Struthio camelus: one gene and its partner. The protein of the gene in region 2 interacts with the protein of the main gene of each other region in a pairwise test. Links are inferred from orthologs where the notes say so. Each region holds a gene or a part of one and is shown on either strand. Other genes may lie near its edges.

Evidence for each region.
Region 1: the proteins of BEND7 (region 2) and EAF2 interact in binary tests that used the Homo sapiens proteins (3 or more experiments, as listed by UniProt). The two-hybrid records come from large-scale screens. The link is inferred for Struthio camelus from reciprocal best matches to the Homo sapiens genes BEND7 and EAF2.

What each region holds. Positions count from the first base shown.
Region 1 is NC_090947.1:33,111,086-33,119,225, reverse strand, and holds the start of EAF2 (ELL-associated factor 2), read right to left. Parts: upstream 3,548-8,140; 5' UTR 3,425-3,547; coding exon 3,322-3,424; intron 433-3,321; coding exon 338-432; intron 1-337. Other genes in the region: IQCB1 (IQ calmodulin-binding motif-containing protein 1), read left to right, coding at 4,383-4,500, 5,340-5,502, 7,069-7,198. UniProt on the Homo sapiens protein: Acts as a transcriptional transactivator of TCEA1 elongation activity. Acts as a transcriptional transactivator of ELL and ELL2 elongation activities. Potent inducer of apoptosis in prostatic and non-prostatic cell lines.
Region 2 is NC_090942.1:7,978,726-7,986,386, forward strand, and holds the start of BEND7 (BEN domain-containing protein 7), read right to left. Parts: upstream 3,372-7,661; 5' UTR 3,134-3,371; coding exon 3,073-3,133; intron 1-3,072.

The DNA of each region.
Region 1 (8,140 bases), on a different chromosome or scaffold from region 2:
TCCAGTCTTTCCCATTTTAGAACTGCACTAAATACCAAGGGAAAACTTGCACTGCCAACATCCACATGGAGCTTTTCTATGTACACAACACTCCAGGGTCATCCTACAGCATATTTCCAATACAGTGAATACATTTAAAGTCACAGCACAATTGTTTAACATTTAAATCTTTTGTAATTTCAAATTTTTAGAGCAATTGCTTTTATATACTTTAAAGATTACAAAGGCAGCTCTGAAACAGCACTGAAACTTCATGCCCTTCTGTATTGAATATATCCTTATAACAACAAAATAAGTCATTTCCTTATGCCAACTACTCTTCAGCCAGCTAACTCACCTCAATATTTGGCAGTGTTATTGTCACCTGTTCACCTTTGCCAACTTCAAGGTCTCCTTCACAGGATGTATCAATAGATGCCGGCTTAAAGTCATCTTAAAAAAAAAAAAAAAACACAACTGGATTATCTACAGGCTTTTCAGGGATCTTTTAAACACCAGCACATTTTGGATAACATCAAAGCTGTGAAGTTGACGGCTATTAAGTTATAGCTTTTTTTCGCTAGCATATTATCTACCATCCCCTAGATCAGATTATTCCACAAATCAGTAGAGTTCAAAGTCAATATCCAGTCTAAGTGTTAACATCTTCTGGTAAAAACTAAAAAAGCACTTTTAGCTTTTAATGGATAAGGAGACTGAACTAGTTGTGTTACACTTAAAAGACAGAAAACCCTCACATTACTAGTTTCAGAAAAACAAGAAACAATTCTTGATATAATTTCAGTCCAAACATGGAAGATGTAGAAAAGTAACTGAAAATGCAAAGCACAACATGGATCCCCAATATTTGACTACAGCATCCATTGCAGATTACTATAATAGGCACATCAGAAGCCTACCAAGACTTCTGTTCCATTTTTTGACCAAAATAATAATACTGTAATTACTCCCCAAATAAATATTCATTTCCTTTTTTTAAAATCTTTTTCAACATCTAAAGTATCCCTTAAAATAAGCTTTAAACAAAAGAAGAGATCAGTTTCTGGTCCTTTTCAGAAATCTGAGACACGAAAAACGAACATCCATTCCAGCACCAGCATTGTAACTACGTAACATATCACTACCTCTGAGGTATTACTTCCACTACAGAAGAATTAGGTTATGAAAGACCAGCATGCACAGAGCTAGGCAAGGGTAAGACAGCATCAAGAGGCTTTGCCAGGCATCGTAAAATACGTTTGAAACGTGGTTCCAGCAAGCTGGCACAGGGCCAGTCACACCAGAGGACGACTAGGAGTACCTTGAGTAGCATGCTGGAGAGACAACCTGCTACAGCTGGAGAGACACAGAGGAACTAGGCATGTAAAGGGAACCCATAGACAGCGCCGTCCCCAGCTGCAGCACAGCACACTCTCTGCCACACAACCTGTCGCTCCATGCGCTGCTGGTCCCAGGCTGCAGCCCTCTGTTACAACTGGGGAGCTTCCCAGTTAAACAATCCTGCTTGTAACCCACTGGCCAGTTGGCACAGACCACAGCTTAGGAAGCACAGCTCCAACTAATACACCAGCTGGTCAAAAAAAACAACCTTCCAGAGCTGGTGGCAAGGAATATGCACGTAGCAAAATGGTTTGAGCTTAGGACACTGGTAACAGCCCACACTAACCTAATGTTGAAGACAAAACCCGAAACAGGGTCTTACAAGGATAAGCATAAGACAGTTGGAGTTTCTCATAGGGAAATAGAGAAGATCTTTGCCTTTAAATATAGCCACCAGGTGGTCAAAACTTTAGAAAACTGAAATACCGATTTCAGTGTCCACATGTGCACTTCAAATCTTAACTTTTAACCAGCAGATGTCTGCCTCTTCACTCATCTGTAACAAAAGACTCAGGTGTTCGAGAAAGATATTTATGTATGTGCCTTTGACAGCACTGACAGATGTGCCAGTTTCTGTCTCATTTGTTGGCCTAAAAGAGAGATTTCAAAACAGGTTTCAGAATAAATCATCAGATTACAAGAGTCAGCAAGAAATCTTAAGGGTAGGAGGTATCCAAAGAGATTTTAGTCCTCTTTGAAATAGGGTAAATTTCAAGTTACCACATTTGTTTAAACCCACTTATAGCTTTTGCCCCTTCCCTTCCCTCCCACAGTTGCAGACCATTCTGCCGAGCGCCATTTGTGTTTGCTCACAGAAAGCACATTACCCATCTCACTGCACTGTATGAGAGCATACAGGACGTTATCCAGAGAATATACAGGAGACTGAACCTTGGAGATCAGTCTATAAATAATGAGACATCAAAAACAGAAGCAGCAGTTCTAAATTACCAGAACTATAATCCTAAGAGCATTTGTTTCCTAGCTACCCTCAGAATCTTTGAGCACACACCTCCCTAGATAATAATTATGTACTCAGGGAGGGTATTCTAGCTTTGTGATTAATACTGCCTTTAACCTTTGATTGCTGGATTTCTACTGAGTGCCTGAAAACTAAGCACAAGGGAATAGCACAAAGCCAGAGCTTCAGCCCCATTCAGTTTTGGGCAGAACTGCATCAAGGCACCATTGCAGGTGCAAAAAGAAGCATAACAAGTTGGTGCCCTGAAAGAAGTGAGGAACAGTATTTGCACACCACAGCAGTACACCTCACCAGCAACACGCTTGCTTGCTGGTCTAGCTCCAGGGCCCTCTGGAGCAACAGAAACCTGAGCAGCACCGCACTGCTCAGGACCCTGGACTAAGACCTAAGCAGCAGGGACTCTGCTCCCAGGTGTGCCTCAGGGCCTGCAGATAAACTCGGGCGAGTCACTTCAGCTTTCTGGGCCTTAGCTACAGCTCTCTTGTATTTCAGCTGCCCACTTCTGCCGCACTCCCGGTACAACCTGTCTACTTAAAAGATAAGCTCCTCGAGGGAAAGCGTTTCCTCCTGCTCGGCTGCACAACGCCTACCTCAGCGGGCCCCAGCGCCGGCACCACAACACAGACAAACACCGGAGTTTCACCGCACCCGGCGCCGCCGGATGGCCGCCCCGCAGCCCTCCTCCCCCGGGGGCCAACACCACCCTCCGCCGCCGCCTCCTCAGCCTCAGCGCCGGCTTCCCGGGCCCGCCCCAACCCCTCCGCCGGGCCGCGGCCACCCTCCGGCCCCTTTGCTGCCGGGCCGTGCCCGGACCACCGCCCCCTCGACACCGGGGCCGGACGGGCGATGCCGGGAGCAACGGTCTCCCGGGACCAACGGTCCCCGTGAGGCGAGGGAGGAGGGGCCGCCCCGGCCTGGCCTGGCTCGGCTCGCCCCGGCGCCCCCCCCGCCCCGCTCACAGCGGACGGTGTGGAAGGCGCAGCGCGGCTGCTTCTCGAAGCTCTCGCCCAGCTTCAGCACTCGCTCCTTGGGGTCGAAGAGCGGCGGGGCCGCCCCGTTCATCGCGGCGCCGCCGCACGCCTCAGACCATGGCGAGCACCGGCCCGGCCGCCGCCGCCACGGAACATCCCTCGGCGCCGCGGGGGGCGGGGCCTTAGCGTCGCCCGGCCACGCCCCCCAGCCCCCCCCACTGGCCGTTCGCTCCCTGCCCCCGCCCCGGGTCGAGAAAGGGGCGTGGCGGCCTCTTGGGGAAGGCCCCGCCCACCCGAGCCCTCACAAGCTGCCGCGGGCGGAGCTCCTCCCCTTCAAGAGCTTCGTCACCAGCGGCGCGGGCTCGGACTGGGCTCGGGCCTCGAGGCGGCCCTCTGTAGATTTCCACGAGTGGGACGGTTGGAGGGGCGAGCCCTCAGGCGGATATGCAAATAATCCCTCCTCCCTCAAGGGTGCGCCCTGATTGGTGGAGAGCGGCCGCGACCACCAGCGGGGAGAGGACGGGGTGGAGGTTGGAAGCGGCACCGCCTCTTTAGGACCGGCCATCCCATTCTCCCCTTTCCCCCTCCCCCCCCTTCGCGCGGCCGAAGTGGGAGCGGCCCCGCGCGGCCGTTAGAGCGGCCGTGGCACGGCCCCGAAGCCTCGCGCGTTTTGGGGGTGGAGGGGGAGGGAGCGGCTCTGAGGCGCCGCTGCCGGCCGGGCCGAGGGGCGGCCGCGGAGGGGCCCCTCCGGGCCTGCACGGCAGGGGCAGCTGGGGCCTTCCGCGGCTCCAGCCCCACTCGTGGCGTCCGCGCCCCGCGGGGGCTTTCTGACTGGTACTGGGGAGGGGCAAGCCCCCCCCCCGAGGCCGGTAGAGCAGCCCCCCCTCTCCCCGGCGTGTCCCCTTCCTCGGGGGCAGACTCGCAGCACTCGAGCTCCAAGCTGGTGGTGCAGCGGCTGGTGGTGTGGTGGAACCCCAAACCTACGCAGAAACAATTAAAAAGTGAGCTGGGCTTGTGCTGCTGGTGTTGTGGGCCCCTCTCGGCCTGCTATGGCCAACGCACCCAGCGCGAGGCCGGCAGCCGCGGACCCCAGGGTGCTGGCCTTGGCTGCTCAGGTCACCGAGAGCAAAGATGAGGACGTCCCGGTGTTGCTTCTGCAGTTAAAGGGTAATTAATACCTTTTCTAAAATAAAAGGATGAGATAGTGAAGTATGGATAGGCTTTTTTCCTTCTGTCTGGTTAAATTCAGAAAGTTTTTTCCCCACATATCTAGCAGGGCTGGAAATTCCATAGGCTTGGTAATATAGCTTCTCCTGACAGTTGTACCTGAGTAGCATTTGGCTTGGGAGCACAAGGGAGGATGAGAGGGAGAGGGAATGGAGGCAGCTCTTCTGTCGCTCTCCGTTGTCACCATTTTTGTAAGGCCTGTGCTAATGTGGCAAGGATCTCATGCTTGGTTAAATAATTTCTCCCAGTGCTTTTGGGTAGAGAGCCAGAGGGGCTGAGAGTGATTGTTAGTAAGCAATTTTTAAGTCTTAATGCAGAAACACAATCACAAGCTCCTGCGTGAGTCCCCATACCCTCCCCTTGGACGCATATCCGCTGCCCATAGAAACGGTAGCAACAAGTTAGGTCCTGTTCTAAATGGGGATGTAATTACGAGGAGGTTATACGTTTCACAGTGGCTTTTCATTGTGGTTTTACTTGGCCTAGGAAATTCATACGAGTGGGATACATCCCAGATAATGTATGTTTTACTACTTGAATGTATAATGAGAAAATGGAAATCTAAACTTGGTTGTCCTTCCTAATTGTCATATAATTTAACAAATACATTGTAGCCATAGGAGTGAAAAATGCTGATGAAATGTTTTATGTTACCACTTTTAGAATTACATTGATCCTAGTGTGTGTACACATATTATCTTATGTTTTGAAAAAAAAAATGCATTGTTTTGTCAGACTCATATGCTCCTCCTAGCCATTTTCCTGCTTTCTTCCCACAGCAATTTTAAATAGTGCTTCCTTGGGATGTAAAGAATCAAAAAAAATTAAGCAAGAAATATACTATTATGATCTTACTCAGTACTGCATGCTGGTCCTTAGACAAGACTATTCTCGACTACAGGGAGGCTGGACTACTGCTGCCCAGCTAGCAGAGATACTAAGGTAAGAAAAATTACTCCGAAGTTTTCTTCTTGTTTCTTCTGGGCCTTCATCTTACTCTTTTTCTTTTCAAGCTGTAATGCATTGGCTCACATCCAGAACAAGGCTTGCTGTTCAGGAAAGGCCAGGGTTAAAGTGCAGGGAGCAGTCAAGAGCAAAGGGGTCAGGCACAGCCTAATTGGTCCTGCTTAATTCGTTTCCATTGTGTTGCACTGAGCTGTGCAAACTGTTTGGTGGCACCAGTATGTGTTGGGTTTACCCTTTTTTGTGAACAGAACTCTTCTATGTCACAATATTTGCTGAGTAATTGCTAATTTTGAAGGGCAGTTATTTAAAAAATTGGTTATTTAAAATTCATTTGTAAAAATCTTCAGCCTGATTAACTCATAGCTTGGCTTGAGTAAACATATCTATTTAAATTTTAAATGTAATAGTGGATACAATTAATACAGACCGGATAGCTTGATGTAGTGGTTTAATTAAGAAGATCATAATGTAGTTTAATTCATAGCTAGCAAATACGGCAACTTTAACTTGAATCCCATGATCTAATCTCAGTTTTAAATGTCAGGAAAAATAATTAACTTTTAAGTTTTCCCCAAGTTGTACTTGATTTTGGGTTAACTAGGGAGCAACGTTCTAAGACATGACAAAATTAAACAGCCATCTTGTATTTATACCATATCTGCAATACAAATTTGTAGTGCTAGGAATTTCACTAAGAAATACAAGATTTATCACCAGGGCCGTATGATACTTAAAGCATCTCTTGTAAGCTATTTCAATTTGCAGAGAAAAACGAAATTTATTTTAGTTGCAAAAATATCCTTTTGCAACTACAGGAATCTCAGCTTCCTCTGCCTAGAATTTGTTTTCCAAGGGCTTCAGTAAGCAAAGCTCTACATTTACACATTCACAACAAGCTAACACAGCTCAGATAATATGTCAGAAAACAAAATCCATGAAAAGTTATGAAAACTCTTTTGTTGCACAAGTGTCAGTGCAGAGTAGAGTGAAAAAACTCCCAACTGTGAAACTTGCAGAGCAGTTTCTTGTGAACTGTCTTCCAGAAATGACCAATATGCTTGTAGTAGGTAAAATAATAAAACTCAGATCTGAGGAACTGATTTCTAGCCCACATGTATTCCTCAAGTAGAGGAAAGTTATAGGCAGAATCACTGAAGATTTTTTTTATACATATTTTCATTGCCTGGTCTGCATCCACTTTATCAGGTTTATGTCTGCCTTTCTATTTTACTCTTTTTCCTGATGACCATCAGAGCCCCTAACTAACATGCTGAACAGACCTGCACAGGTCCTGTGACACTAAAGGGGAAAGTGACTTGGCATGCTGTAGTAAGTAGTAATATCCTTGCAGTCTCCAGCCTCACAGTGATTCCTCTTCCTTCTAAGGCAGCTACCTTGGAGTTAGTCACAGCAGTTAACTGTTGTTCAGTGCTAAATTATCTCATTCCAGTCAAGCATTTCTTCTGTGATGACATGACATTCATTCAAAGCTGTTCAGACAGGCCATGGACTATTCAGGTTGGATTGTGTTTCTCATTTCAGTCATTGTTGTGTGGGACTAGAGGTGAAAGAAGATCCTGAGGAATTTTACAAGAAATTTCTTCCTTTAGCTATAGACAACCTGCTGTTTTTGGGAAGACGCCTGCAAGCACGATTTATCCGAGCAATCAAGGTATTTAAATTTCATAGTTAAAGGAGCAAAGTACCTCTGTAAATTTCCCAAGCTTTTATATTCTATGAGTAGGATATTATTCTAGGTATACTGTATGATGAAATTTTATTTTCCAGAAATTACAAAAATTTGTCTTATATCGTGGAGCTTAGAAACTGAAATGTGTCGTCTTGGAGCATTCAGTCTATTATGAGTATAAAACTAGTTTATTACCATACGTTTGTTTAGAGTGTTTGGCTACTACTTGTAGGTTGTTTTTAAAAGGGCAAAAAAGAGCAATTATAAGTCGGATAGAAGAATTAGAAGAGTAAGATAGAAGAAGAATGCCTTACCAAAAGGGAGCCTCCCAATCATCATAGTGTTTTTTTTTTTTAACTTTGCATATAGTTACTTCAGTCTTTGCAGTTGCTGTATTCTTAATGCTTTACTGAACTTTACAAAAAAGAAAGTACAGTTTAGGACATCTTAAGGCAGTAGACTCTAAGTCAGAGATGTTGAAATCTGTTTTGCCGTATAATTTCTGCAGTGAAATTGGCAAAAAAATCTGAAATTGTTCACCGATTCTGAATTGTTGGGAACCCCAAAGAGAGGCTTTGCAAATTAGTAGATATAAGCACTTTCTCTAAGTTTCCTCATGCATTTGAAGCAATCAGAGGTCCAGAATCAGCAAAAAGATTTCAGAATAATTGAAATAAAGAAAATGTCAGAATCTATGAGATTGGTTTAATTTCCTTTTTTCCCTTATTTCCCCTTAGTGTCTCTTTTTTTGGTTTACTGATTTCTTGCATTTAGTCAAAGCTTTTCTATAGCGTTTAATGCTGGGTGCCACAAATGTAATCACTTCTCAGAAAAAATCATTAAATGGCATTCTTTCCGTTAGTTCAATACTTTTAAAGTGCATGTAGTGCTTAAGAAGCAGACTTCCTGAATGACATCCCAGGA
Region 2 (7,661 bases):
TGTAAACTGGCTTTTTATATTTACCTGCCTCACAGAAAGCGAGGTGGAGATTAATTAACACATGGAAGAGCATTTGGAGGGATTCACTTAAAGGCACAACAGAAGTGAAGAGCAATGTAAGCAGCTTCTGCTCGCATGGGAAACACACCTGCATCTCTGATAAAACGATCAGCTGCAGAATTGTAGAGGTCTCCTGGCAGTCCAACTTTTTGGGTACGTATTATTTATTTGTACGGCATGACTGTCTCGTTGATATAAGAGTGGGGAGGAAGAACAGCCCAAGAAGAAAACCAGAGTCAAGTATAACGCAGCAACGCAAAAGAAATAAAAGGGCCTGGAAAGCAACATCGTTGTGTATGGAAAAAAAAAAGGGGGGGGGGGAAGGTAGAGAGGTCAGCAACGAGGGGCTAGCCCAAAAGATAAAGTTGGGGCTTCAGTGCTGCATGGAGCACAGAGGGCAAGTGAAATCCATAGGCTGCCCGGTGCAGAAAGGGCCAAGGTGAAGGTTGAGACACAACATCAAGAAAGTATAAGCCCCTTTTGTAAGACTAAAAATTACAGAATTTATGCACACCACATTGAATGATCGCTAGCTTTTCTCTACCTTTTCATCCTCAGTAAGGACTTCCAAGATCTGGTAGAAGTGAGTATGTGGAAGCTAGGTACTAAACGACTAACAGATTCTCGGTGCTTAGATGCATTGCTTATGTGTGGTTTCTTCTCTAACATTTCCCTCTGTATATCCAGCAGGTCACAACACCCTTATTTTCTGATCTGTAACTGCTATCTTAAAGTCACCCCATTTCATCCCAGAGTTAGCTACATTTTACTGAAGCAATGGATTTCCTTTGTATATCGTAGTTAAAATAATTTCACCGTGTTGATAAGGTGTCATGAAGTTTTGGGGGACAGAACAAGCACTGTATTCACACACATCAGTAGCAGACCGTGTGTTACAAATAAACAAACCCAGCATACTGTTTTCTCTTTGGTTTCCCTCTTCTGCCTCAGATGTCACAGTCCAGGGGCTGTGAAATCCATCTCAATTTCACAACAGTAAACACTAAACTGTGACATTACTAAATGACTCCAGCAAGAGGCAAAGGCCAATTACAAGCAACAACTATTTATACATAATTATCTTTATAATCAACCACGGCAGGAAAAAAACTATGCAAGAGCAGACTCTGCTAAAATGTCATTTTTATCTTCTCCATTCTCAAAGTACAAAACCCACATTTGCTCTCCAGGATTTGCTTTTGGTCTGCTTTTCTATTTAAATTTCTACAGCCAAATAGAAACCCCAGAAAAATATAAATTACTAATAATTTACTAACACAATTCCAACCAATTTCCCTTTTATAACAAGGTAACTATACCGTTACAAGTGGCAACGGAGCACTTGCAAAATACCAATACATTTTTCAGAGCGCACGCTGTTCTTATTACAGTCCGATCATGACGAAAACAAAACCAAATCTTCAATTTCACTTTTGCTTTTCCACACATTTCCCCCTGCTCCAGCCCAACGCTGCACAAAGTCTGCATTGAAGGTGATTCAGGAGAACATCTGATGCAAAAAAAAACCCAAAACAAACAAGCAAGCAAACAAACAAATAAGAAAAAAACGAAAAAAAAAATAAAAAACACCCTCCAAACCAAACCTATTATTTTTAGGAATGTAACCCCCCCCCCCCCCAATAGGTTTGTCAACATTTGTGCTTATAAGCACTCCAGTAGATTTGGGACGTGTCTGACCAGTTGCTATCCCTCTAGTTTCTAAGAAGTAACGCATGCAGTGCTCAAGACTCTCCTACAATGTTAAAATAATAATTTGTCATTCCCATCAAGCGAGTTTATTTTCGTCTTTCGAATTCTCCGCGTCTCACGCGAGCTTGCCGAACACCTAAGGAAGAAATCGCTCCTCGGCCAGCAAGTATCGAAACTCGCCTCCTTCCCCCCCCCCTTTTATAAGTGTGACATGACACCAAAGTAGTCACCTGCCTTGAACTTGGCATGCAGGACACACACAGCATTTCATGGGAGATATTTCAGCTCAATACTTTAAAAGACAAAAGGGGGGGGAGGGAGGGAAAAGATCTTCAGGCAAATCAATGAGGGCAAAAGACCTAAGCGATAAATACCTAACCTCCCCCCCCCCGAAAAAAAAAGGGGGGGGGGGAAAAGGAAAACCCTAGGGCTGGGAAGTCCACCTGCTAAAATGACTACCAGCCGCTGCCTCTTTTAAAAGGACACGACTGAGAGGGCTGCGCGTCCTCCCCGACATGAATCCCAACCTTTCCTTAGCGATCCCCGCTAAAACATCCTCTTCTCGCCCAGCCGCCGCGCACCGAGCGAACAAGTTGCACGCCAGCAAACCTTCCTCGCCCACGGACAATTAATTAGCCGCGTGGATTTTAATAAAGCCACCCCGATTAGGCTCTTCTTTGAGATAGGCGTGCGGACGCAGTCCAGAGGAGGGTGGGAGAGAGAGAGGGGGGGGGAAAAAAAAGGAAAAGAAAAATCAACAGACACACACACACACGCGCAAGAAATCCACAGGAGTTGAATACTAAAAAGGTCCGTCGCTGCTCAAGTGTCATTATTTTGCTGTTTTCTTCATTTCGCCTTTCTCTTCTCCCTCTCCTCTCCCCCCCCGCCTCCTCCTCCCCCCGGAGGATTTATAATGAAATACGATCCAACTTTATTTGTATAAGATCTCCCGGGGGGGGGGGTAGGAAAAAAAAAAAAAAAACCACCACGTCCACCTTTGGGGTTGCGGTTAAAAAAAAAAATCACCAAAAAAAAAAAAAAAGAAAGGCAAGGTTTTGGGGAGTTCAACCCCGCGATTCGGGAGTTAAATAATAAATAAACGGAGGGAGAGAGAGACATTGCCGAGGGAGAGGGAAGGGAGCACGCACATTTCATAACATCCTGCTCTTCCCCTCCGAAACCCAGCGCCGTTCAGGTTAAAAAAAAAAAAATATAAAAAGTCTTTTTCAGCCACAAACAAACAAAACAAAGGCTCCGCCGCGGGCCCCCCGGCGCTCGTCCCCGAAGCCGCCACTTTACCTTGATTTATCAGTTTAAAGCTTTGGGATTTCCTGCTTCTCTTCCTCTCCGTAAACTCCATGGTGCGGGCAGGAGGGAGGAGGCAGAAAGGAAGGAGAGCGGGGATGAGGAGGGCGAGGGGCGGCCGCGCAGCCCGTCACCCAGCGGCGGCGGCAGCAGGACCAAGGTCCGTCTCTTTAATCAGCAAAAAACAAAACGGGCGCCGGGAGATGTCGGTTCCAGCCGCACGCACCGGCGGGGGGGGGGGGGGGGAAGAGCTCGGGACGAGTCGGCGGCGGCGCCGCCGCTGCCTCCCCGCGGCTCCGGCCGCCCGCCCGCCCGCCCAGGCCGCCCCTGAACTTCGCGGGGTGCCGCGGCGGGGGCGATGCCGGCCAGCGCCGCCGCCGCCGCCGCCTCCCCCGCCGCCGCCGGGCGCGCGGCCGGCGGCCAAGGGCGGCCCGCAATGGCTCACCGCTGCCGCCGGGACCCCGGTGCCACCTGCTGGGGGAAGGCGGCGCGCCCCGCGGCGGGCTCCGCCAGCCCGGCCGCAAGGCCGCCACCCCACGCCACGCCACGCCACGCCGAGGAGGAGACAGCGGCGGCGAGCGCCGCGGGGCCCCCCCCCGCCGGCGAGCAGGGCAGGGCGGGCGGCCCCGCGGCGCCTCCGCGGGGGTGGCGGAGGGTGACTGGCGGGAGAGGGGCTGCCAGGGCAGCGCCATTTTGTGTCCCCCCCCCCTCCCGCCGCCGCTGCCGCCGCCGCCGCCTCCCCGCCCTCACAGGCTCCCTCTGCCGTGCCCCGCCGCCGCGGCTGCAGGTCGCCTGCCCGCCCCGCGGGGCCCCCTCGGGCCGGCGGAGGCCGCCGCGGCGCCCTGCCGCGAAGCAGCGGCGGCCTCTCGGCGCGCGGCCTGCGCCGCCGCCCGGCCCCCGCGGCCTGGCCAGGCGGCGGCGGCGGCGGCTCCCGCCGGCTCCCCGCTGCGCCCCGGCCTCCCGCACGGGCCGCTTCGGGCGGGCAGAGCCGGAGCCGGAGTCGGAGCCGCGCAAGTTGGCGGCGCAAACCGAGCGCGCCCGGGGAGGGGGCTAAGCGGCGGCGAAATGAACGCCGGTGACGGCGTTTCGGCGTCGTCGTTCGAGCTCGGTGCCGGCTGACGTGGCCTGGCACGGTCTCTCGTGGGGACCTGGAGCGGACCCCGACCCCGGCCGGGGCTCGCGGGGCGGCTCTCCTCCCGGGGGCAGCTTTCACACAAGGCGGTTAAACACCGACCTAAAGCGGGGAGTCTCTGCTGACCGAGTAACGTTTAGTACCTCTGGCCACCGTCTAGGAGGTCCACCGTGGCCGTACAGACGCCCGTAAGCGGTTTGAAGTTAGTGCTTTACTTTACTCCCCGCTTGGCACCTTCAGCTGTATTTCAGATTCACTTATTTCACTTACGTTGGTGCTAAATTTGTTTCTGTTGTAGGTTCTCTACAGCCAGCAGCGCCTATGGCCGTTGCTGCTAGAGGAAGGCTCCGGATAACCTAAAGCTCAGGTGCAAACATAACTTTGTGTTTTAAACATAGTCAGGCTGGGCTATGACAAGGAGAAGAGTGTGGGATATCCGCACGCGCTTACTTGAACAGAAGTTAAGTGCGTATTTGTACATGGTCTAATCAAAGCCCATAGGAAAATGCCGCTGGCTTTGGTATTACTGCCTGAGCCCATCGCTAGGAATAAGGAAATAAAATTCGTAAGTAGAAAATAAATTGCCTATTAACAGTAATTATTTGTATCAATATAGACTCCAGTCAGACCTGAATTCTCTTGGGCGAGGTGGTGCCCAAACACCCAGCAGAAAGTAGACCCGGTTCCAAAAAAGCAACCAGGAAATAGGCTTAATGGTGAAGCGATCTCAGAAAACATGCCTAATGGTAAAATTTATTAGACCCAGGAAAATTAAATTCATAAGGGAGGTTATGGAAACCTCATAGATTGGGTAAGGGTGTAATTTTCTATTAAATTGCTGAGTGGAAAATCCCAGAGGCAATCAATACGCTACTTTTGGAATTTTTCTAAACTTCACTGTAAGACTTTTATAAGGAAACTGGGCTAACATACTATTTAAAATCCTACATTATATATTTTTGGGTGGTTGCTGAAGCAGCAAAGGTAGGTAGATGTCATACACTGTTTGCTAAATTATTTGGGTCCAGTTAATCTCTGCTATGATACAGAGAAGTCAGGTCTGAAATGCAACAGTAGCGTGCATTAGTTTTGTGTACAAAAAAAAGTATTTACATTTTTTTGCCAAAGAGTCTGCTGATTCTAATCTGCTAATTTTATTTACGAGACTTGAAACTGCTGAAACTGTTGTGTTTAACTGTCATCCTTATTGGGACAATAGGATAATTTTATAAAGCATAAGGCCTTCATTTACTGTTCAATTCACATGATAGGCTTTATCCTGCATTTGCCAAAGAAATGTGCTACAAAAATAAAAAAATCTTTTCTGTTTTCCTCCTGTTATTTGATTTTGTAAAACATTTTGGGATATAATTTATGAAAAAAAAAAAAAGTGAGGCCAGTGTTTCATTAACTGCTCTCTTCTTTCTCTTAGTTCTTCCTTCCTAGTCGTATATTTTTTGCTTAAAGGGACACTCATGGTTTGAGAATGGCATTTCAGGCTGAAAACAGTACATACTGTCGTTTCAAGAAACATTTTACAAGGGTTAGCACATCCTTTTTTTATCAGTATCGCTCATTTTGCTTCTTGTGCATTTGACAAAAGAGAGAGATTCACTCTTTTCATTCTATAGGATGAGCCTGATCCTGCAAAGAAAACTTAGTGTGGTAGCTCAGATGAGTAAATCCTGTGATTTTCATTTCTGACAGTATTTGCCAGTTTGGATACCTAGGCCCTGATCCTGTAATCTCATCTGCATAAAAGTGAATTAGAAACTAGGACAAGGTGACTTTAGGTCAAAGTCTTCTAGTTATCCATAGAGCATGTAGGAGGATCTGGCAGCTGAAAAACAACCTTTCCATCCTGAACTGCTAATGTTTTTCAGCCATGACTTAGAAAAAGTACTTCAAGAATTCAAAGGTTCATATAGTCCCCAGAGACAGTAAGTTGCGAGCCTCTTTTTGGGGGTGCGTTGGGGTTAGTGTCCTACAACTGGACTCATATCATCTGCTCGTTTATCACAGGCCACCATCACATTATTCTAGCTGGAGACCCAGAGATAAAAGTCGTCTTTATTCCATTAGAATGGCTGCCTTGTTTCATCCTGCATATTCAATAGCTACGTCTCCGTGGCAGCCAAATGACTTATGATAAAGTACACTGGCTCCAAAGGGCAGTCAGCTTTTAATTTCGTCTTTTATTTCAGTTAATGTCTCAATATTGGATTGTTATTATTATTATATATTAAGAAACGACAGTTCCTTTTTTTTTTTTCTGATGGAAACATGGAAAATTCACAGCATTTTGTATATATTCATGAATAGCCACAAAGTATTCCCTCAATGAAAACATTAATTAAATAATGTGTTTTTCAAAACACCATGAAATTAACTAACTAAATGGACGCCTTATCTTGCAATATATTCCAAGTCTGCATGATTATCCCTGACTATTTTCTAGTTACTGTTTTATTATGTCATAAGTTACTTTGAAAATCATTTCCCCCCTGCTTCTAACCAACATTAATTTCTCAGATAATTTTCTGGTGTGTAAAATGCTTAGTTTATTTCAGGTGCTAGATCAGTAGCTAAACAATTAAATATAATTAATCTAGTAATACAAGCAAATTACAAGTATTAATGAGAACAGTGCTCTTCACATCAGGAAGTCTCAGACTCCTTTTCTTTGCTCCCAGGCTTATCCTCAAAATGGCTGGGTTGAGTTAGTTACAATATTTTAATTGTTATTAGGAAGGTAGGATAGTGTAGGACAAACAAGAGGGACGAATCCTAGAGCTGAGAAGAATGGTATGGGGGAATTATGAACTTCTTCAGCTTTCAATTGGAAAAACTGTACTTAAAGAAGTCTTACAAACTTCGTGATTTCAGGTATTAGGTCTAATACGTCAAGGAATCCACGTGAGGTTAGGAGAAGCAAGAAGGGGCTACCAACTGTCATATTAATAGCTCTAGGATTACTACTCATTTTGGAGGTTGAAGGAGTTCTGTGTGGTATTAGAAAGCAGGAGAAGGGTGAAGGGGTAAAGGAGAGATCAAGAGTTGCATAGGTGATGGGTTAATATGTTAGCTATTTCGGCTAGTTATGTTTAATGAATGTAGCTGAGGGTTTTATAAGCTGTGGTAACAATTTTTTCTCTTGTAGGTTTCCCATGGTGTTTTTGTGGTCACACAAAATACATAGGCAGTACCTTTTGTCGGCTCCCAATTTGATGATAGGTCACTTTGATGCCATACTGTCTTACTGCAAACTTTCCTTTTCGTAGAGCTTTCATGCTGACATATCTGGGGACTGGCTCATTACAGAGGTAGGGTTCTGGGCGTTACGAAGTAGTCTGAAGCTTAGACGTGCAGTTTAACTTGTTTTCTGGTCTTCCTTAAGTTCTTCCTTGAGTCCTTCCATTCCAGTCACAGCACTTGACACCCTGTTACACCT